Arabidopsis thaliana: one gene and its partners. The protein of the gene in region 3 purifies or fractionates together with the protein of the main gene of each other region. This does not show direct contact. Each region holds a gene or a part of one and is shown on either strand. Other genes may lie near its edges. The genes, in order: LTA3, NIR1, SDH6 and TRA2.

What was found.
Region 1: the proteins of SDH6 (region 3) and LTA3 purify together in Arabidopsis thaliana (affinity purification with mass spectrometry, with the first as the bait; one large-scale study listed by BioGRID). This does not show direct contact.
Region 2: the proteins of SDH6 (region 3) and NIR1 purify together in Arabidopsis thaliana (affinity purification with mass spectrometry, with the first as the bait; one large-scale study listed by BioGRID). This does not show direct contact.
Region 4: the proteins of SDH6 (region 3) and TRA2 purify together in Arabidopsis thaliana (affinity purification with mass spectrometry, with the first as the bait; one large-scale study listed by BioGRID). This does not show direct contact.

The regions. Positions count from the first base shown.
Region 1 is NC_003074.8:19,358,576-19,366,222, forward strand, and holds the start of LTA3 (Dihydrolipoamide acetyltransferase, long form protein), read left to right. Parts: upstream 1-1,630; 5' UTR 1,631-1,741; coding exon 1,742-1,836; intron 1,837-2,219; coding exon 2,220-2,276; intron 2,277-2,433; coding exon 2,434-2,488; intron 2,489-2,569; coding exon 2,570-2,603; intron 2,604-2,752; coding exon 2,753-3,030; intron 3,031-3,124; coding exon 3,125-3,169; intron 3,170-3,337; coding exon 3,338-3,411; intron 3,412-3,550; coding exon 3,551-3,620; intron 3,621-4,034; coding exon 4,035-4,226; intron 4,227-4,322; coding exon 4,323-4,367; intron 4,368-4,473; coding exon 4,474-4,547; intron 4,548-4,854; coding exon 4,855-4,924; intron 4,925-5,179; coding exon 5,180-5,569; intron 5,570-5,652; coding exon 5,653-5,713; intron 5,714-5,786; coding exon 5,787-5,831; intron 5,832-5,916; coding exon 5,917-6,000; intron 6,001-6,383; coding exon 6,384-6,460; intron 6,461-6,530; coding exon 6,531-6,593; intron 6,594-6,731; coding exon 6,732-6,802; intron 6,803-6,900; and 8 more.
Region 2 is NC_003071.7:6,808,479-6,813,466, reverse strand, and holds NIR1 (nitrite reductase 1), read right to left. Parts: upstream 3,073-4,988; 5' UTR 2,916-3,072; coding exon 2,540-2,915; intron 2,344-2,539; coding exon 1,989-2,343; intron 1,908-1,988; coding exon 1,619-1,907; intron 1,542-1,618; coding exon 801-1,541; 3' UTR 526-800; downstream 1-525. UniProt on the Arabidopsis thaliana protein: Catalyzes the six-electron reduction of nitrite to ammonium.
Region 3 is NC_003070.9:2,682,498-2,686,207, reverse strand, and holds SDH6 (succinate dehydrogenase subunit), read right to left. Parts: upstream 2,033-3,710; 5' UTR 1,869-2,032; coding exon 1,689-1,868; intron 1,328-1,688; coding exon 1,225-1,327; intron 959-1,224; coding exon 813-958; 3' UTR 506-812; downstream 1-505. Other genes in the region: CPNIFS (chloroplastic NIFS-like cysteine desulfurase), read left to right, coding at 58-228; SSL3 (strictosidine synthase-like 3), read left to right, coding at 2,231-2,556, 2,634-2,909, 3,172-3,339, 3,544-3,710.
Region 4 is NC_003076.8:4,301,284-4,306,067, forward strand, and holds TRA2 (Aldolase-type TIM barrel family protein), read right to left. Parts: upstream 3,033-4,784; 5' UTR 2,930-3,032; coding exon 2,754-2,929; intron 2,558-2,753; coding exon 2,386-2,557; intron 2,293-2,385; coding exon 2,243-2,292; intron 2,121-2,242; coding exon 1,820-2,120; intron 1,589-1,819; coding exon 1,400-1,588; intron 1,313-1,399; coding exon 1,130-1,312; intron 1,043-1,129; coding exon 797-1,042; 3' UTR 509-796; downstream 1-508. Other genes in the region: AT5G13410 (FKBP-like peptidyl-prolyl cis-trans isomerase family protein), read right to left, coding at 1-129, 209-278, 355-423; AT5G13430 (Ubiquinol-cytochrome C reductase iron-sulfur subunit), read right to left, coding at 4,131-4,774.

The DNA of each region.
Region 1 (7,647 bases), on a different chromosome or scaffold from region 3:
TAGTTACAAATAAAGTATAAAAGGAATTAAACTTTTATATAGATAATTAACACAAACAAAATATTAGAGACGATTTCAAATAAATTATGAGGATATAGATGAGAAAAATACTATATAGAATAACAATAGTAAGAAATTAAAAATAAATAAATCAATTTGTACATATAAATTAGAAAGAAAAATATAGATAAATAATTAAACAATATTAATAGTATCACATAGGTCAATTAAAATTTTATATACAATAGTTAAAGAGTATTATATCTCAAAACTAAGTTTTGATACTGCGTAGAACAAATCATGTTTCAAGCAAAAATGATCAAATTCCTATGATGCTGGAAATGCTTGACGATCCACATGAGACTGGCTATGTGCATGTATGGAGAAAAACGTGTTGTTCGACAACGCGTGCATGCCTTCTTCCACCTAAGTGACGACGCATCACAAAAAGTTATCTAGTAGTGTTAATAGTTCATGTTCCATCTGCCGAAATTACACACAATATAACGTATTCGATTATTTGTTATCCAACAACTTAAACGATTCGACCAACTCACTCAACCTTTTGTCACTAGTTCCAGTCATATATTTCTTATAAATACTCGTTCACTACATCTGTACAGATCGAAAGAATCTCTTGATATATTACAACACACCCATAATTCATAAAGACTAGCTCATATACCTTTGATATATGAGATTTGATCTATATGTCGTTCTCCTTAACTAGATATCGCTAATTGGGCTTGCATTCAACAAGCAACATATATCGCTTATTACATTCGACGATACTCAGCTTCTACATCTTAAGTCTCTCTTTTTTTCTGAGCTCACCATCAAGTATAAGAACACAATTCTACCTCTTATTTGTCTACTCCCAATTTTTTGTTTTTGGTTTTTCACTATTCTGACATCTTATCGTATTATGATTAACGTTAAGAATGTCGTCTCGAAAATCACCTACCTAGCTATTGTTTCAAGATTCGACTCCCATGCGCGTCCCATCAAGAACAAACCATCCAGAAGCATCAACCTCCAACTATTAGAGAATAATGTCCCATTCGCCCCTCGCTGGTCAAATCGCTTCCATTTGATTCACATAAGTCCAACAACAACGATGATCTCTGGTGTACTACTACCAAAACTCAACCTTGAGACAGATTCTCAAAATACTATATGTTCTATTAACTATTTTAACTTGAATCAAGTTGATAATTGTAGAGAGAAATTTTTTGTTCACTTCTTATTAATTTGTAAAACATTTATTTTAAAACCCATTACCGTTAAGCTTTGATACAATGATACATGTTATTTTCTGATTAAAAATGGTTATAAACTTGAACGGTATAAGACTTTAGTGTATAGAGAACAATTTAGAGAATCTGTATTTATGTAACCGCGACCTTTCGGAAACGTAGAAGGTGGTCGCACAAACAAACCAATCAAACCCTTAATCGATGGCACTCTTTTAATGTCTAATAAACTTCGGTTCGTCACTCGACCGGACAATTAAATATGTGATTAAAAGTGTGAATTTCCGGTTCGGTAGAGATTACTGGTATTTGTTAATCCGGGCCGGACCGGGCCGTATCTGAATTATGAACACTTTCCTAATGTCATAGAATCGTTCGTGCCGTCGTCGCTGCGATCTGACCAAAATCAAAAGTGTTACGATTCGGTATCATCGTCTCTCTCATTTGTGATTTTGTCAAACCCTGCTCTCTTTTCTCCAAGTGCTCTCATGGTGCTTCCGCTCTTCCGGCGCGCTGCGATCGCCCGGACTTCCTCGCTTCTCAGAGCTCGTCTTTTCGCTCCTGCCTCCGAATTCCATTCTCGGTACGCTTATTCTCTCTATCTAGTCCCGCCTCTTTCAAAGTATTTTGATGTTGCTCTTCTTCCATGTGTGATCCTTTGCAATTCGATGACTGAACTGTTTCTTAGTTCGATTTCATTTTCCTTTTCCGCAATCATCCATTGACTTTTTTTGGAGTTCTTATTACGTATTGTATAGTGATGTTTAAGAATGCCAAATTTGGTTTTGTTGGAACAATTGAACTATCCATTTTTTCTTATCGAACTGGTAGTACGGGTTTATCTTCTCTAGTTTGTGAGATGTAATTTCCATTTTACGTCACTCGCAGTGAAGAACAAGTGTGTCCTTAAACTGGTGTGATCTCTTTACCTTTCCAATACATTTGACAATGAACTTTCTTATTCAGCTTTTCTAATGGACTATACCACTTGGACGACAAAATTAGTAGCAGTAATGGTGTGAGGTATGTGTTCCATATCACAAATTGAGGACAAGATTTATTTTTATAGAAAAAGTCAGTGTGATCGTAGGCATTCAAAGTTTAAGGTTATAATTTAGTTCGTTTCGTATGTGTTAGATTGTTAGTCTAGTTTGAGATTTTGTCTGTTCTACATTTTCAGGTCTGCCTCTATAGACTTGATTACAAGAATGGATGATAGTTCTCCAAAGCCCATTGTAAGTGAACAGCTAGTACTGTTTCTTTTCTTTTTTCACTTTCATCTATCCGTGTTTCTCACATACATTGTTTTCTTGTAGCTGCGATTTGGCGTGCAAAACTTTTCATCTACAGGTATTCATTGATTGTTATGTCATCTTATGGAATAATGATCTTCATAAATGAGTCAACCAAGCAATTCCATTATAGAATTACTAAACGAGTTGATTATGGGACTTTCATCTGATTTGAGCAACCTGTCGGCAATTGTTAAATTGTTTTAGCCATAAGACTTACCAACACAGATGTTAAGTGGGTGATAAGAATAATTAATGGAAACTTTCGCTTAACTTGTAGAAAAATAGAAATGTTAATTGATGCAGGTGCAAAAACTTCCATATCACTCTTTTCTCTGATGTTTGTGCTTCCATCATACCTTAGATACAGCGACAGGAGATGCAATCAATTATACAAGATTCTTCCATTAAATTATTATTTTCTTTGGGTTGTAGGACCCATATCACAGACGGTTCTTGCAATGCCAGCCTTGTCTCCTACTATGGTAGGAAATTTGACTTCAATCTTGTAAAGAATTTTGGCCTCCTCCAAGACATTTGGACTTCAATCATTGTTTTATGTTTGTTGGGCTTTTGCAGAGTCATGGAAATGTTGTAAAATGGATGAAGAAAGAAGGTGACAAGGTGGGTTATTTCTTATTTTTGGTTGACAAAATTTCAGTCGACTTTTATGATTTTGTCTACTAATGATCATTATACAAGAAAGACGATAAATTGATAATTTAGCTGGCAAAGAAAATATAGAATGTGGAAATTCTCAGTAACAGGTATGAATTTGGTTCTTCCTGACAGGTAGAGGTGGGTGATGTACTATGTGAGATAGAGACAGACAAAGCCACTGTAGAATTTGAGAGTCAAGAGGAAGGGTAATTTTGAAAAAGACGGTTCATGATTTTATGTTTTGATTTGTATTTTTATTTCATTATACCTTGGTAATTCAAATATCTGACTCCCTATAAGTATATGAAAATGTCAATTGGCTTACTATGAAGCATGGTTCTGCAGATTTCTGGCCAAGATTTTAGTCACTGAAGGATCAAAGGATATCCCTGTTAATGAACCGATTGCAATAATGGTAAGCACAGTGGCTGTCTTATACATTTATAGAAACCAAGTATGATCTCACAAAAGGTGATGCATGCATCAACATACGCTTATTAGGAGTTCCTGTTTGTTTATCTAGTCTGCTCTTGGCCTCTTTCACTTTCTTTCGTTTCCTGGGTTTACATTCTGGAAGACTTGACAAATCATAGAGATGTATGGTATTTCGTTGTCAATATTTATTGTGGAAAAATGTCCAAGATCCAATCTCATGCTCTCTTCTTCTAAATATTTCCGTTTGCCATACTGAGTTGTCATGTTATGTCCCCAAACATGATATATCGTAGGGTTTAGGGTGTAGCGTATATTGGTTACAGTTTTGGTCAACATCTTGCTACATAAGGTTGATGGATAAGAGTTTAATCTTATCTATTTAATTGTAACCAAGGTTGAGGAGGAAGACGACATTAAAAACGTTCCTGCTACCATAGAGGGTGGACGAGATGGTAAAGAGGAAACATCAGCTCATCAAGTGATGAAACCTGACGAAAGCACACAACAAAAAAGTTCCATTCAGCCCGATGCATCAGATCTTCCCCCACATGTCGTCTTAGAAATGCCAGCACTTTCTCCTACAATGGTATGAAATTTCATATTTTATGCTAGCTTTTTTTGGAGGAGAAGGCATTCAGCTTTCTATCCTAAGACTCTGAATTATTTGTTTATTGATGTGCAGAACCAAGGTAATATTGCCAAATGGTGGAAAAAAGAGGGTGACAAGGTTAGTTTCTGGTGACCCGATGAGTAAATTGGCATTGTAATTTCACCACAAGAAATCTGATGTTTATGCACTTGCCTGTGTTGATTCTTCTCATTTCATGAAACAGATTGAAGTGGGTGATGTCATAGGTGAGATCGAGACTGACAAAGCCACTCTGGAATTTGAAAGCCTTGAAGAGGGGTATAACTAACATCTTGTCGTCTTATTTCTTTTTCTAGGCAGTATGTTGATGTTCATTCTATATAGCATTCACTATCTGTGGATATTGCTTCTTTTCTTGTTTGGTTAAGTGAGAAGTAAATGTTAATTGCAAAAAGTAAGGTCTCTCCAAGTGTTCCCCCTTGAACTGATAGTGATTTAAAAGGTTGATTTCATGTTTCGTAGTTTTCATATGAGTATGGGCTTCCTCTACAAAAACTGATTTCCTGGATCAAATGAGTGAAGTTATATAATAGATTCTATAACTTGATGGATGACTTTTGTGTAGGTACTTAGCTAAGATTCTAATTCCTGAAGGTTCCAAGGATGTGGCGGTGGGAAAGCCGATTGCCCTAATAGTAAGTCTTTTAGTTCAAAAGTACATTGACTGAATTCTTTATGCCAGAAAACTGTATTACGACTGGTATATTTAATCCATTTGTTTTACTAGCCTGTGTGTAATGCATTTTGTGCATAAATTGGTCGACACTCTTCTAGTTCCATGCTACGTTATATATTGCCTGAAGTAAAAGTTATGCCTGCACAAAAAATCTTTGAAAATACAATTGCTTGCAGATTGGGGGATATAATAAGCTAATCGTTCTTCTCTGTAGGTTGAAGATGCTGAAAGTATTGAAGCCATCAAGTCTTCTTCCGCAGGTAGTTCTGAGGTTGATACAGTTAAAGAAGTCCCTGACAGTGTTGTAGATAAACCTACAGAGAGGAAAGCAGGCTTCACAAAGATCAGTCCTGCTGCAAAGCTATTGATTTTAGAACATGGATTGGAGGCATCATCAATTGAGGCATCGGGTCCCTATGGTACATTATTGAAATCAGACGTTGTGGCCGCAATTGCTTCTGGAAAAGCTTCTAAATCATCTGCGTCTACGAAGAAGAAGCAACCATCAAAGGAGACCCCGTCTAAATCCTCCTCCACATCGAAGCCTTCTGTGACACAGTCAGATAATAATTATGAAGATTTTCCAAATAGTCAAATTCGCAAGGTAAATTAACATATTTATTACTCTCTATGTAGAATGATGAAATATGTCCTGCTGCATTCTGTTTTACTTTCCCCACTTGGCAGATTATAGCAAAACGTTTATTGGAATCAAAACAGAAGATACCCCATTTGTATTTACAATCAGGTTGGTGACTCACAACCTTTGTATTTTCTTTGTGTATTTTATTTGCTGTTTAAGCATTTTATTTTGCCTGCAGATGTTGTATTGGATCCTCTTCTTGCATTTAGAAAAGAACTTCAAGGTTTGTAGACTGCTCTTATCACACATCCTGGTATTTATTAACAACTTGAGAGGCTCAGAGTGAACTGTACTTTCATGATCTACAGAAAACCATGGCGTTAAAGTGTCTGTCAATGACATAGTTATTAAAGCAGTGGCAGTCGCACTGAGGAATGTACGACAAGCTAATGGTGAGAAATTATTTTCTCCTCGTAAATGATTTCATTAAAAATAACTAAACTATGGTTTGTTCCCATCCCTAACTATGCGCTAGATTAAAACCTTAGTTCATCCTCTTTAAGGAAACTCGGCTTCCATGTTGGATTATTCTTGCAATGCCGTTTACCTCCGTTGAGAGTATTTAGTAAAGATGTTTTGAGATTGTAATACTGTAACATTCAATATGACTGGTAATGCATTTTAGACTCGGTTTTAGTCGTTACAAGTAGGACATTTTTTGGTGTGAGTTTGATGTAATGATTTGTGGATTGGAATCGTGTGGTTGTTTTTTCTCTTCTGCTTTCTCAAACCTTTCTTATGGTTGCTTAAAGTTCTCTTTCTCAATGTCTGGCAGCTTTCTGGGATGCTGAGAAAGGAGATATCGTTATGTGTGACAGTGTTGACATATCAATTGCAGTTGCAACTGAGAAGGTACACTTGTGTGTTTGATTTTCTGATCATTTCAACAGTTTATCCCTCATCATCTTGGCATTTTTTGCAGGGCTTAATGACTCCAATTATCAAGAATGCAGACCAGAAATCTATTTCTGCTATTTCCTTAGAGGTAATTTTATTCTCTCTGAAGTTAAACGAATATGGAAGGCTATAGAGGCACATATGTTTGATCAGTTCTTACCATATTCCATGTGTTGTTGATCGCTATAGTTATGAATTTTAATATGTCAAATGATTTTTGGATCAGGTTAAGGAGCTGGCACAAAAGGCTCGATCTGGAAAGCTTGCTCCTCATGAGTTTCAAGGAGGGACATTCAGGTATTCATCATTTTTAAGTTATTAAGCATAGTACGGAATTATCAATCATGTGTAACTTTTCCTACTTAACGAGAAAACCATACTTTATCGTTTTGCAGCATATCAAATCTAGGAATGTATCCTGTGGATAATTTCTGCGCAATCATTAACCCCCCTCAGGTAATCATAGCCTTAACGATGCACCCTGAATCACAGATTGAAGATTAAGTTTTGCTGTTTGTAATTTGTGGTGTAGAGGATTTAGTTTAATATTTATAGAGATGCAGATGTGTTTTTTTGGATAATAAACTTCAGGACTATCAATTGTCTTGCAGGCTGGGATTCTAGCAGTTGGTAGAGGAAACAAAGTGGTTGAGCCAGTTATTGGACTAGATGGTGAGCTAGTAGAATCCTTTTGGGTTTTCAACTAGGGTTGCTATTCTGATCATGGTATGACAAGTTTTCGTCATTGTTTCAGGAATTGAGAAGCCTTCTGTTGTGACAAAAATGAATGTAACGTTATCCGCTGATCATCGGATCTTTGATGGACAAGTTGGAGGTAATGGAACATTCATAAATCCCTTCGTTTCGAGTTTTATGTTATGCTGCTGCCATATTTCACTGTGTTTCTCCTTTGTTACTCATTGCTTTTTCTATGAAACCGGCTTTGTTTCAGCTTCGTTTATGTCTGAATTGCGTTCAAACTTTGAGGATGTTCGAAGACTTCTTCTGTGAGAAAGATCCAACTGTTTACCAAATGAATCTTGGATTACTACATAATAAACCTCGGACCAACCCACGTGCACATCCAGAACCAGAACTGCTGGTCTACATTGTTAACTCTGATCACATGTTTCATTTTTTTC
Region 2 (4,988 bases), on a different chromosome or scaffold from region 3:
TTCCCATGTTGGCACCATAATCTGGTAACGATGAAGGTGCCTCTTTAAGATCGTGAATTGTGTTGAGTGGAGCTTTGGTGGCCGGCGTAGAACAGTTCAGGAGAGTGTGTTTTGCAACTGATCTGCCCTCTTGCTATGTCGCGTGTTCCAGAGTTTAATAATTATGATGGTTCAAATTTCAACGACGGACTAGGTAATTTCGATCGACGGTTCAACTCAAGATGGCGGTGATGAGTCATATCGGCATCTTTTCTCATCCAACATGCGCAAGAACAGATAATTAAACACGTGTCCCTTCTAAACCTAGTTTAATCTCAAGTTGTAATCTTTCTATTGGGTTTGTAGTTGGACTTTATAATTGTGTTGTTGGGCTTTATTTACCATGTACTCTTTCTTAAAAATTAATGAAATTGACGTTAAAAAAAAAACAATTTAATTTATTAATAATCTTTTAAGAATATTATCAATATATTTTATTAATTAAAATCTATTCCCTTAACTTTTGATATATCAAAAACAAAAATATTGGAGGTAAAAAGAAACAAATGTTTATTTCTTATAAATATCACAGAGAAATCAAGACAATATATGACAAAAAATCAGATTATACTACTATTACTAAAAAACAAGATATTACAAAACAACCAAGGACAAAGTTACAGGTTACAACAAAGGAGAGAGCTACAAAACCCAAAATTATGGGCACAATACAAATACAAGTATCAAGTATCAAAGTCTGAAACCAGAGAGAGAACCATTCATAGGTCTCTTGACTTATTAAGAATCCAATAGCTTTTGAATCAATCTTCATTCTCTTCTCTTTCTCTAGGCACAGCACCAAATTCTTTGATCAGAATCTCAGCCACCAATGGAACCAACTCCGTGACACGAACACCTTTCTTATAGATCTCTCCGATATGCGAGTCACTTCCTATTCGTCCCCCGACGTACACGTCAGCACCCTCGACTGGCTTTCCTTCCTCGCCTCGTGTTAAGCATCCCATGAATCCGATATCTGCTACTTGGACTTGTCCGCAAGTGTTGGGACATCCTGTCCAATGCATCCTTATCGGTCTTGGCACAGATACAAGTCTCTCTACTTCTTCTGTCACTTTTAAAGCTCTTAGCTTAGTCTCGATTATCGCTTGTCCGCAGAACTGGCTACCGGTACAAGCAACTAAGCCTTTCATTAGGATAGATGGTTCAGGGGAGAAACGGTTCTTGAGAAACGGCTCTTGAAGCAAAGCTTCGGTTTTCGAGGTTTCTACATTTGGGATGATGATGTTTTGCTCTACTGTGAGTCTTAGCTCACCTGACCCGTAGGTATCAGCTAACCGAGCAAGCTCATCCATGTCATCAGCTTGTAGCCTACCAACCGGAACGTGAAGCCCCACGAAGCTAAGACCTTCTTGTTTCTGAGGGTTGACTCCGAAATAGTCTCTCCTCTCCCACTGTTTGTTCACAAGATCCTCTGAAGATCCTCTCTCGAGTTTCCCATTTGGCATTCTCTTCTCTACCTCAGTTCTAAATCCTTCAACACCCTATACATTTCATGCAGACAAATCAACAACCAAGAACTTCAATACCGAATTTAAGATTGCAAGAAGCATGTACTTACAAGTTCGTCGATAAGCCACATCATTCTTGTCTTCTGTCGGTTTCCTCGAGTTCCAAGATCTCTGTAAGCCTCTAGAACAGCTTTGCAGAGTGGAAGAACGTCATCAGCAGGGACCCAAGCATCAAGAGGAATCGCTTCTTCACATCTTTTGGGACTAAAGAATCCTCCCACAAGCAAATTGAATCCAAACCGTCCATCTTTATTAGCAGGCATGTAGGCCAAATCATTGATATGTGGATGCTCATAGAGATCATGAGTCCCCACCACACACACATTCCACTTTCTTGGCCTACAACAAACAAACAAAAACCCATCTTAGCATAACCATTCACTCACCAACACACAACATCAATCTAAAAAGAGAACTCACAAGTTGGTGAAATCGGGGTTTCCTTGTGAATTAGCGGTGATAAACTGCGAAAGGAGATTCGTGTAAGGCCTCGTGTCAACAATCTCCTCCGGATCAATCCCAGCTATAGGATTCCCAACCGGGTTCCTCACGTTATCCATACCACTTTGAAGACTCGTTAAACCAACAGAAGCAAGACCTTTCAAGATCTCAGGCACATCAGGCAACACAACACCACGGATCTGCCAATTCTGTCTAGTAGTCACATCAGCACACCCATCTTCACCATACTTCCTAATCACACTCGCTAAATACCGAGTCTGTGCACTTGTAGTCACACCATTTGGTAACTTCAACCTCATCATAAACTTCCCATCTACAACAACAAAATCAACAACAAGCACTCATAAATCAAAATGTACTAAAGATAAAGAGTAAAGACTAAACCTTTACACAATCTGGTCACCAATTTAATCACAAGTCATTGAAAGAAGCACACATAAGACTAAAGACGAAACCTTTACACAGTTCAATCACAAGTCAATGGAAGAGGATAGAGAGGAGGAACATACACTGATGCTTTCTACGGTGAAAGAGACCAAGCCACTTGAGTCTAACATCAATATCATCTTTAGAAGACTTTTCACTATCAAGCTCTTCCATAGATTTCTTAGCAAGCTCTTCAATACCATTCTCCATAAACAACTTCATGGGCTCTCTCTCGATCTTAACCTTCTCCTGAGGATTGATCCCTTTTCGAAACTTCTCCTTGAGAATAAAAAAACCATCTTTCAACTCAACTCTTGGCTCGAGACGATCTGCGTCAACAGAGGCGGTGGATTCGGCCGGAGCTGTGGTCTGAGCGGCGGCGACAAGGACGGATCTTTTGGGTTTGGTGGAGGAGGAAGGGAGGAGAGGAGATGTGAAAGTGAGAGAGAAAGAAGTCATGATGATGGCGGAAGAAGGAGTTGGGAGAAGGTTGGAGACGTGCGGCCATTTTTGTAGAGGGAAGAGATGAGCTCTTGAGCAATGTAAAGGGTCAAGTTGTTTCTCTTTGATCGTATGTTGCGAGGAGGAAACAGACACCTTCTGATTTCTATTTGTTTTATTCTTTCTAAATTTATTTGAAACTATTTAAATTGTGTTTATTTATACTATATGATTCACTTAGTCTATTGACTTCATTTTTTTGTCATAGAAAATTAATTAAAACTCAAAACAAAACTTAAAATGTTATTTACAAATGTTATGATATGGTAGGATTGTTTGTTTTAATATTTGTACTATAAAAAACTAAAATTAAAAAAAAATATATTAATTCTTCAATGTCGTTTTCAAATACACTCAGAAGACCAACCATTTGGTTGGAAAAAAACTATTTTTATCATATCTGAACAGTCTGTAAAAAATATGACATATTAGTTATTGACACCGACCATACACTTCATTAATAATAAAAGAGATTCGATTTTTGCATGTAGGGAGATAGATTTCATATTAAGTTTGTCACTCCCATACTAAAGAGAAATACTAAAGAGAAACATTGGAAAAAAAATTAGCAGTGATTAGTATGAGATATTTATTTCATAATTTGAATGTTTATAGTATTATTACTTTTTAATTTTTTAATATATTTAAAAAATGATAACTACATACATATATGAATTTCAATGAATAGGATAACATCCAAGTTTCCGCATATTACATACTACAAAAAAATACAACAATTTTCATATTCATACTTTAGTATTCTTAAGTTTTAATCACTACTAATTATGAATTTATGGTAATGTTGCTTAACATATGTTCTTTTCAACTATATTTGTTGATCTTAATCTAACTCTGTTTTTTTTTTAAATGGTTTCCTCTTGAGATGTTAATTTTTGGTTTAGTGCGTGTTTGGAAAAAAGGTTTATTAGAGAAGATTCAAGGTTGATGTGGTCATTAGGGATTTTATAGATATCATTTTTCACAAAATATAATAAGGTAAAAAAGGTTGATGTGCTCATTAGGGATTTTATAGGTATCATTTTTCACAAAATATCATAAGGTAAAAATATCTTGATTAAACAACTAAGACAAGTTGTGTAGCATTTAGTCGTGTGCAATTATGAATGGACTACTTTAAATAAAATAAATGTAAATATTAATAATATGTTATCAGAGCCATAGGTGTTCTTTAGCGTTATTCTAGAGACATGAATCAAACTACCTGCAGGTTCAAACATCATCGCAAGTCGCAACGTCTTCTTTCTTGTCCACACCAAAACGTTAGCATTGTCTTTTTTTTTCTAATTTATATTTCTTTTCTATAGATTATTCGCACAATCGTTTTCAACTTATATGTATCATCTTCCTGCAATTTAGTATACATCGAGGTGACAACATTATGTTTGGTTATTAAAATTCATATATTGTCATTTTTAATTATATAAAAAATTAACAAAATTTATACTATAAACATTCAAATTATGAACTAAATATCTCATATTAATCACTGCTATTTTTTATGTTTATATGAATTTGCATATCCATACATATTATAGTACATAAAACATTTATACTATGAACATTTATAGCTTTTTTGTACATATATGAATTTCAATGAATAGGCTTGTTATAATTTTGTTATTTTTTTCTGAATTGTTTATGGCTTTAGGGTTAATTATCCAAAATTTAACATTTATTTAGAAATTAAAATAAAATTTAGCTTACAAAGAATTAATTTATCATATTGGAATTGAAAAATAGCTAGTGGCTCTTGTAGCTTTTAAAATCTTAAGGACATAACGTATGACTTCTCACGATGTCTAAGAAACAAAACCTTCCCCGGTTCGGCCTAAACCGCCATCCATCCAAATTATTCTCCACCGCTATTCCACGTGTGGCTTCCACACTCCTGTTCCTATAGTCCGGCTTACTAAATATCTATCACATCTTCGACGTAAATAATTGACCACGTGAATTAATATATCCATAAATCAACTTGACAAACTAACAAAAACTACAACCTGAAATATT
Region 3 (3,710 bases):
TCTCATCAGAATATCCATAGTGGGATGAAAACTGAAAACGAATATTGTATGTTGCAGCACGGAGTTGCAATAAGGTCAGGACACCACTGCGCACAGCCACTCCACCGGTATCTTGGAGTGAATGCAAGTGCACGCGCCAGCCTCTACTTTTACAACACAAAGGATGACGTTGACGCCTTCATCGTTGCGCTGGCAGACACTGTGAGCTTCTTCAACTCTTTCAAATAAGTGGAACACCTTCCTGCTGGATCTCTCGGCTGGTTTGTATGGTATATTGCTTCAGAGGCTACTTATTTAAATCTGCTTTATATGATCAATGGGAGTGGATTTTGTTTCTTCAAGTCCGAAGGGCAATTTGTGTTGTAGTTAGCAATTTGTATGAAAAAATAGACCGACAGTAGTCATGAACAATTTCAGGCCTCTACTTGATCATATTTGTACGAATACACACGAAAGCAAATGCTTCGTTGTTAATTTGTAAGTTTCATAAAAAACAAACTCAACATGAAGAAAAGTTACTAATATGAATCATCAAAGGAAAGGTTTCGATATGTGCTCAGTTGGGGTAGTCGTCATTCCCTGATTCTTTTGAGACCATTTGGTTTCTTTGAATTCATTTTCTCAAATCTTCAAAACATTCATGAGGCATGTTGTATTATTAAGACAAGGCAAACATGTTCCAAGAGTGAGAATAGAAAAAGTTTCAAAGGCGAAAGTCTGGAAATGGATGGATAATCAGCATTTCATGTTGTTCCCAAGAAGATACTCTGGACGAGAAAGCAGCACACGTCTTCGTTTTAGATTCAGGACCTTTATTGAGACTTACGTTCCCACCATTCCATGAACTTAACTTGGGCTGCCATTGTGTCCAACTTGTAGAGTTGCAGTGTGTGGTTGGCGACCTCTTGCCCAAAGGTCCAACCAAAAACACCTCCTCCTAAGAAGGACAATGCAGCACCTGTCGCACCAGCAGTAGTTTAGAGGTGTCAAAAGTTGGAAGAAAAATAAACAGCAATTTAGTATTGAGAAACAATGTAAGCGCCATGAGAACTGCATAAACTTTCAAACCAGTTTCCAAGTATTATCAATATAGGACATAAAGGTCTAATTGACTCCCAAATAATCCCATTATCCCTGAATTGCAAGCTTTGTGTCTTCGTTTGAAGAAACAAGTGAGGTTTATAAAGAGCAAATAGTTATTCACAGAGAGAGAAATGTCATTACCATGTGGACTCCTGGAGTATTTCCAGGCAAAAGCAGCAGTAGAGACAGCTCCAAGTGCAGCTCCGGTAACACCAAACGTCACAGCTTCCCTAGCCGTTTTCAGCTGGATAGGATGACCACAAATACACAATGAGTACCAAACGTAAGATCTTCAGTAAGAATACCAAATACCAAACCAACAGTTCAGTTTTTGCTAGGTTTTTTATGCCATCCGACGACGATGCAGTGGGCTTAGTCCTCTTGTATCTGTGCTTCCAAGGACTAAAGCCAGAAAAACCTAGCCTAGTGGAACTTTATTATATCAAAAAGTAACAGAAACTTTCCAATGGAAAATCAAATGAAGAAGAAAAAAATAAACCGATGACAGCAGAGTAAAATCGAGTACCAGCCGAGTCATAGATAATGGACCAACAATATCTATAGATTCCAAAACACAGAGCGAGAGAAAGATAGAAGGAAATTACGGTGGGTCCATGAACGGGATCGGAGGCAATGAATTCCTCGACGTCGGAGGAAGACCAAGAAGGAAGAGGCGCGTCGCGTTTGGTGAATCTGGTGTAATTTTCGAAAAATGATAACCTATCACTCCAGAAATCCTTCAATCCATTCCAATTTTTCCCAACAAATGACTCCGAATCTCCCATCTTTCTCAGATCGATTAATCAATCTCCTTCTCACTGCAAACTTTTTCTCTGATTGAAGACGATTATTATTTGCAGAATAAATAAAACTGGTCTACCGAAAAAATGGAAGGTCGATCCGGTTCACCCGGTTTTCATGTTTCTTTTTTTAATTTAATACCGGGTTGCCATCAGATTAGCCGATTTGCAATTGCTCCTTGACTTTTCTTAATATATCGAAAAAGAGCAGCAATTGAGAAAAGTTTTAAATTTTCAACCAGAAAAGTGTACTCTACTGCAACTACTTCTTCTCTACTTCTCTACCTTAAAACTTCCCCAACCATTTTCTTCTTCAAATCATCATCATCATCCCTCGTACAAAGAAAATGGCCATGAGCATACTCGCGAAGATCTTTCTCGTCTTTGCCATCTATTGCGCTATCGATCCCTTCAGTCACAGCTCCATTTCCAAGTTCCCGGATTTCAAAACTTACAAGATTGACATGCCTCCGTTATCGTCACTTCCAAAGGAGAGAGACCGCCAGAATCTGTTGCAGAATTCAGAGATCAGGTTTCTTAACGAGGTTCAAGGTCCCGAGAGCATTGCTTTCGATCCGCAAGGTCGTGGTCCTTATACCGGAGTCGCCGACGGTCGAATTCTCTTTTGGAATGGCACTCGTTGGACAGATTTCGCATATACTTCGAACAATCGGTGAGTCTTGTGATTGCAATCGAGTCTTTGTGACCATTTCGTTTCCAGTAAAGTTCTCAACTTTGATGTTTTATTAGGTCAGAGCTATGTGATCCTAAGCCATCGCTTTTGGATTACTTAAAGGATGAAGATATCTGTGGTCGGCCTTTAGGTCTTCGATTCGACAAGAAAAATGGGGATTTGTACATTGCAGATGCGTATTTGGGGATAATGAAAGTTGGTCCGGAAGGAGGTTTAGCAACTTCTGTTACAAACGAGGCTGATGGTGTGCCTTTGAGATTTACCAATGATCTTGACATTGATGATGAAGGCAATGTTTACTTTACTGATAGCAGCTCTTTCTTCCAACGAAGGTATGTAAGGTTTTAAAGTTTTGATCTTTACTAACTCTCCTGATCAGTGGCTTGCATAAAGTGTTGCTTTTTGGAACTCATGTTATATTGATTGAAATGATCTGTCATAGGCACATAAATTGAAAATTTTGACTGCGGCTATAACTTCAGAGCCTTAAATGTTGAATTCTGTTTATCTTTTGAGGATCTACAAGAAGTTGCAATGAGCTTCCGATGTCTAGTTACTACTTTTGTTTGAGTATGTTGATTGCGCTATTTGTAGGAAATTTATGCTTTTGATTGTCTCGGGGGAAGACAGTGGGAGGGTGTTGAAATACAATCCAAAAACAAAGGAGACTACCACTCTCGTGAGAAATCTCCAGTTTCCTAACGGATTATCCCTCGGCAAAGACGGCTCCTTTTTCATCTTTTGTGAAGGATCTATTGGAAGGTGAGTCCTTCATCTTAATTCCTCTCTGACTTCCACATCATTGTCTGTATATATACTTGGCATAACTTCTGCAATCAGCATTTCTGATTGAAGCTAAAATGGAACGATTAGCATGTTGTTTCCATATCGTTTCAATGATTCTGCTAGAAACAAACTCCAATACTGTGAACAGAATCTAAGTCATTTTTTGTTGTTGTTGTTCAGATTACGGAAATACTGGTTGAAAGGGGAGAAAGCTGGAACGTCAGAAGTGGTAGCTCTATTACATGGGTTCCCAGACAACATCCGCACAAACAAAGATGGAGATTTCTGGGTGGCGGTGCACTGCCACAGAAACATATTCACACACTTGATGGCGCATTACCCGAGGG
Region 4 (4,784 bases), on a different chromosome or scaffold from region 3:
GAGAAGCTGATGCAAAGTCTCCATCTTTAGAATCGTATGACAATGCTCCAATCAACAAACCAACAGAAGAAACCAACAACTTTCTGCGATCAAACTCTCCAGAATTATTAACACATCCACAATTCCCACCTGTTTTCAAAACTGAAGTTATAATTCAATTCACTGTTGAGGAGGAAACAGAAAAGTAAAACTGTAGAAGCAAGCCAACCAGAAGAACGAAGAGGAGCGAAGTCATCTGATTGGTCAGCTAATCGAGCAGCCACAGTCGTCCGGCATCTCTGAGAATCAAAATGAGAGATTCAGTGAATAAAAAGGAAGAAGAAGAAGAAACAGAGAGATGGTGCGGCGTCGTACGGTGGTGGAGGAAGTTCCGGCGAGCGCTGTGGATTGAGGGAAGCAGCCAAAGGACGAAATTGACGCCATTAGAGTGAAACTTAAAAAACTGATTTTTTTGTACGTCTAAAGAGAGATGAGAGATAAAGTCTCAGCTTTTTATGTAGAGAGGCTTCTAGGAACAATTGTTCATATAATCCGAACAAAGAAGAAGACAAGGACACTTTTTTACTCGCCAATTGTTTTCAGTGAAAATGTAAATTACAAATACGGTAAAAAGTAACAAACTCTTCTGAAGCATCATCTTACAAGAACAAAGAAAATAGAATAACCCATAATGTGGAACATCAAGCAAAATCCATCATAACCACTTTAGAAAGCATGCATAAGGATTGAAGAACAAAAGCCAAAGGTTCTTCTTTTTATTTTAGCGTAACCAAAAACATAATGATGACTCATTTCCTCAATGGCTGGCTAGTTTGAGAGTGTTGGCCTTGTCTTGCAGTGTACCGAGCAGACTCTCGAAACTCTTCTTGAAGGAATCTACTCCTTCGTCTTCCAACTGTTCTCCTACTTTGTTCCAGTCTATTCCCAGCTTCTCTAGTGCACTGTAAATCCCTTCTGCTTCTGACACATTCGCATCTATTGTCCTCTTCACTATTCCATGATCTGCGAATGCTTCCAGGGCTTGATCCGGCATGGTTGATACCTAAATCACACCCACAAAAACTATGAATATACTTCCAAAGCGTTAATACAGCCTATTGACTTCAACACAAACAAAAAGATGACTTACAGTGTCAGGTCCGATGAGAGGAGCGACATATAAGGTGTCAGAGTAAGCTGGGTTCTTTACACTTGTTGATGCCCAGAGAAGTCTCTGTTTCTTGGCACCTTTCTTTACCAGAGCTTCCCATCTTGGGCCAGAGAATTTCTGCTGGTATAGCTTGTATGCTAATGCAGCTTGAGCCACAGCCGCCTGCAAGAGTAAACATATCATGTGTCATAAGCTAATACTCTACTCACAGTGGCTGGTGTAAGATCTCAGCGATGAATAGAGCTTTACCTTCCCACGGAGATCTAAGGCTTCAGGGGTACCAATTTGCTCAAGCATCTTGTCCATGAGAGTATCCACCCGACTGACAAAGAAGGAAGCAACACTGGTAACTCTTGAGAGGTCATCAAGTCCAGACGCCTCGAGGCCATCCAAATATGCATCGATCACTGCTTCATATCTGGCGATTGAGAATATAAGCTGAAACAGAACAGAACATATGAGAAACGATTTAGAAAAGGTAACATCAGTGCATCCTTGGAACACCCTTGAACTAATCTAGTTTCAGGTTTAAAACGCCCAAGAAATCCAGTGATCTAGCACATCATCACACAATACATGAATTTGAAGTATTATGACTTATTTTATTTTGAAGTTCTTTAAAACTTGCAATAAGAAACTTGAATAATGAAACATACTAGGATAACTTACCGTGACATTGACACTTATTCCAGCTGCAATGACATCCCTGATGGAAGGAATGCATGGAGCAGTAGCAGGAATCTTAATGTAGACATTACGACGGTTGACAACCTTGCTAAGATATTTAGCAGCTTCAACAGTTCCTTGGGTATCATCAGCAAGCCTAGGTGAAACTTCAACAGAGACATAGCCATCCGCACCTTCTGTCTGGTCATAGATTGGCTCAAAAAGTTTGCAGGCATCCTGAATATCCTTCACCACAAGTTCCCAATACGCACTTTCAATGTCCTTTCCCGATTCCACAAGTGTCCTAATAGTGCATGTCAGGTATACCATTAACATATCAGACAACTTTTCATATAAAGAAGAACTCTAAAGTTTTAATAGCATGTTGTTAACAACCACAAGTCTAAGACAATCACAAAAAGATACCTGAATTGATCATTATAAGCATTTGAAGTGGAAATGGCTTTTTGGAAGATCTGCAAATGTATAAAAAGTGAAGAAGTAAAGACAAATGAACAAACACAGAGCAAAAGCAAAACCAAACACACAAAGAGAGATGATAAAATTACCGCAGGGTTGCTAGTAACACCTCTAACACCACGAGCAATCAACGGGAGAAGATCTGTGACTGGACGGCAAAGATTATCATACCAAGGACTCTGACCTTCCTTCTCATATAGATCATGAAGAGTCGTTCTCTTTCCAGCAGTTCCATTTCCACCAGACACTGAACACCTCACACTGCAAATTAAACAAAAAAATCAGACTTTTACCAACCAAAAAGGGGAAATACAGTTGCTTTTCCTAATCCATCTTATAAAAAATGTTACTTTGAGATTCGTGGTACGTTTCCAGCTAAAAAGATTCAATTTTTGGTGAACCCCAAGAGCGAGAAACAGAGACAAAAGACATGCATCAAATGGATATAAAGACTTACGAGAGGGAAGGTATTGATCGTTGGTTATAACGAAGAGAAAGCTGAGAAGAGGAAAGCTTTGCATTCAAAGCGCGGAAATTGACGAAGGATCTAGGTAAGACGGAGGAAGAGGAAGAAGATTTGGAGTCGACGCAGGTGGCGCGGGGAAGATTAGCGAGATTCGAAATGGTTGCCATTTTTTTCGTCGAGGGAAATACGAAAGTGTTTTTTCTTGGTTTGATCGATCGGAGGATAAAAACAAAGAAAGGGGCTTAAAAATGGGGTTGGTGAAGTTTTGAGTTAGGTCGGGAACGCAAACGACGAAACTATATCATGATGGCGATAGATGCTCATAGTTGACCATTTTCTGTCTTATTTTACATTCTAATTTCTTACAATTTATCCAAATGTTAAAACAATAAATAGTTATATACTAGATAACAAATTTATTTAATTTAGATAAATGTGATTTTTTACATCAGATGGTTTTAATAAACTTTCTCTAATGTATGATTAATCAGTCTGAAATTAGAAAACAATGAATAAAATAATAAGAGATAGAGCGGTGTCTTATGATAAACACGAGAGGTTGCTTAGTGAGGACCTTTGGCTTGTAATTAGTGTGTAATGGCCGTTGTTAGTTTGCAAGGGTCGGAGAAGTCACTTCCCATATCCCAAAAGGAAAACAACTTACAAGAGATAAGTCACTTCCCATATAGTTCATGGCCGTTGTTGGTGACCAAAACAAACAAGATTTTAACATTTTCATCTCCCACAATGGTTTTTACCCAAATCAAACTTTGGCTTTTGTGTGTCAAACATTTTTTCTTAACTAAAAAAGATTAAACAGAATAAAATATTATGTTTTTGTGTTCTTAGCCAATCTAGAAAAAATCTAGCTATGCCACTTTTGGATGATTGAATATTCATTCACGGGATGTCTTACGAATACAGTTTGAACTTATTCGGTTATCTTCCTGTAAACTATCAATCAAAGCTGATATATTACCTTTTGTTGTTTGTTTCTACGTTGGTTTTTCTCATACCTTTAGTTTTTCTTTTATGAACGTTGAGATACTATCGAAACTCAAATGTAAATACAACTTTTTAATTGGAATGACGATGTTTAGAATTATGAGATACGAAAGGAATCTCACTCATACATAGGACAAATAGGCATGTTAAATAATAAACACAGACTATGAACATAGTCGTCTTTTACTAGCGATGGATAAACGAAGATTGAGTATACTTCAAACAAAAATCACAAGTTTGTATTATTCAGCAAAAACAAGTCAATCTTGCTCTAACATGCCGGAAAATATTAATTAAAAGAAAAAAAGAACAAGTGAAGATCATCATTCAGATCCAGACTCTTGACTGTTGTGCTTTTATTAATCAACCGATGAGTAACTTATTCTCTTCCAGGAAGCTGTAGGTTGGTACTTCCAGGTTGTATGGTGCAGGACCTTTCCTAATTCTTCCAGATATATCGTAATGTGATCCGTGACACGGACAAAACCAACCACCATAATCACCAGCATTAGGCAAGGGGATGCACCCCAAATGAGTGCACACTCCAACAACCACTAACCATTCTGGATTCTTGACCCTAACCGAGTCTTCTTGTGGGTCCCTCAGGGATCCAACATCCACACTATTGGCCAGCTTGATGTCATCTTCTGTTCTTCGCCTGATGAAGACGGGCTTTCCACGCCACTTGACTGTCACGGTAGTTCCTGGTTCTATGCTCCCTAGGTCAACCTCAAGGGATGCAAGGGCAAGGACATCTTTACTTGCAGACATGCTCACAATAAGCTTCAAAACAAGCAGGCGGAGGACAGAGGCATAAACAAACCTCCCACCCGACAAGACAAAATAGGCGAATGCACGCTTGCTAGGGTCACCAGGTGGGTAACGCTCATGGTTATGGTCATCATAGACAATCTTTGAGTTAGGCGTTTTGACAGCTTCGACTGTGGCTGGGACTTCTGAACCAAAACCTATCTCATTTCCTTGAGCAAGGACTTGAGAAGAGAAGCCTGAAAATAG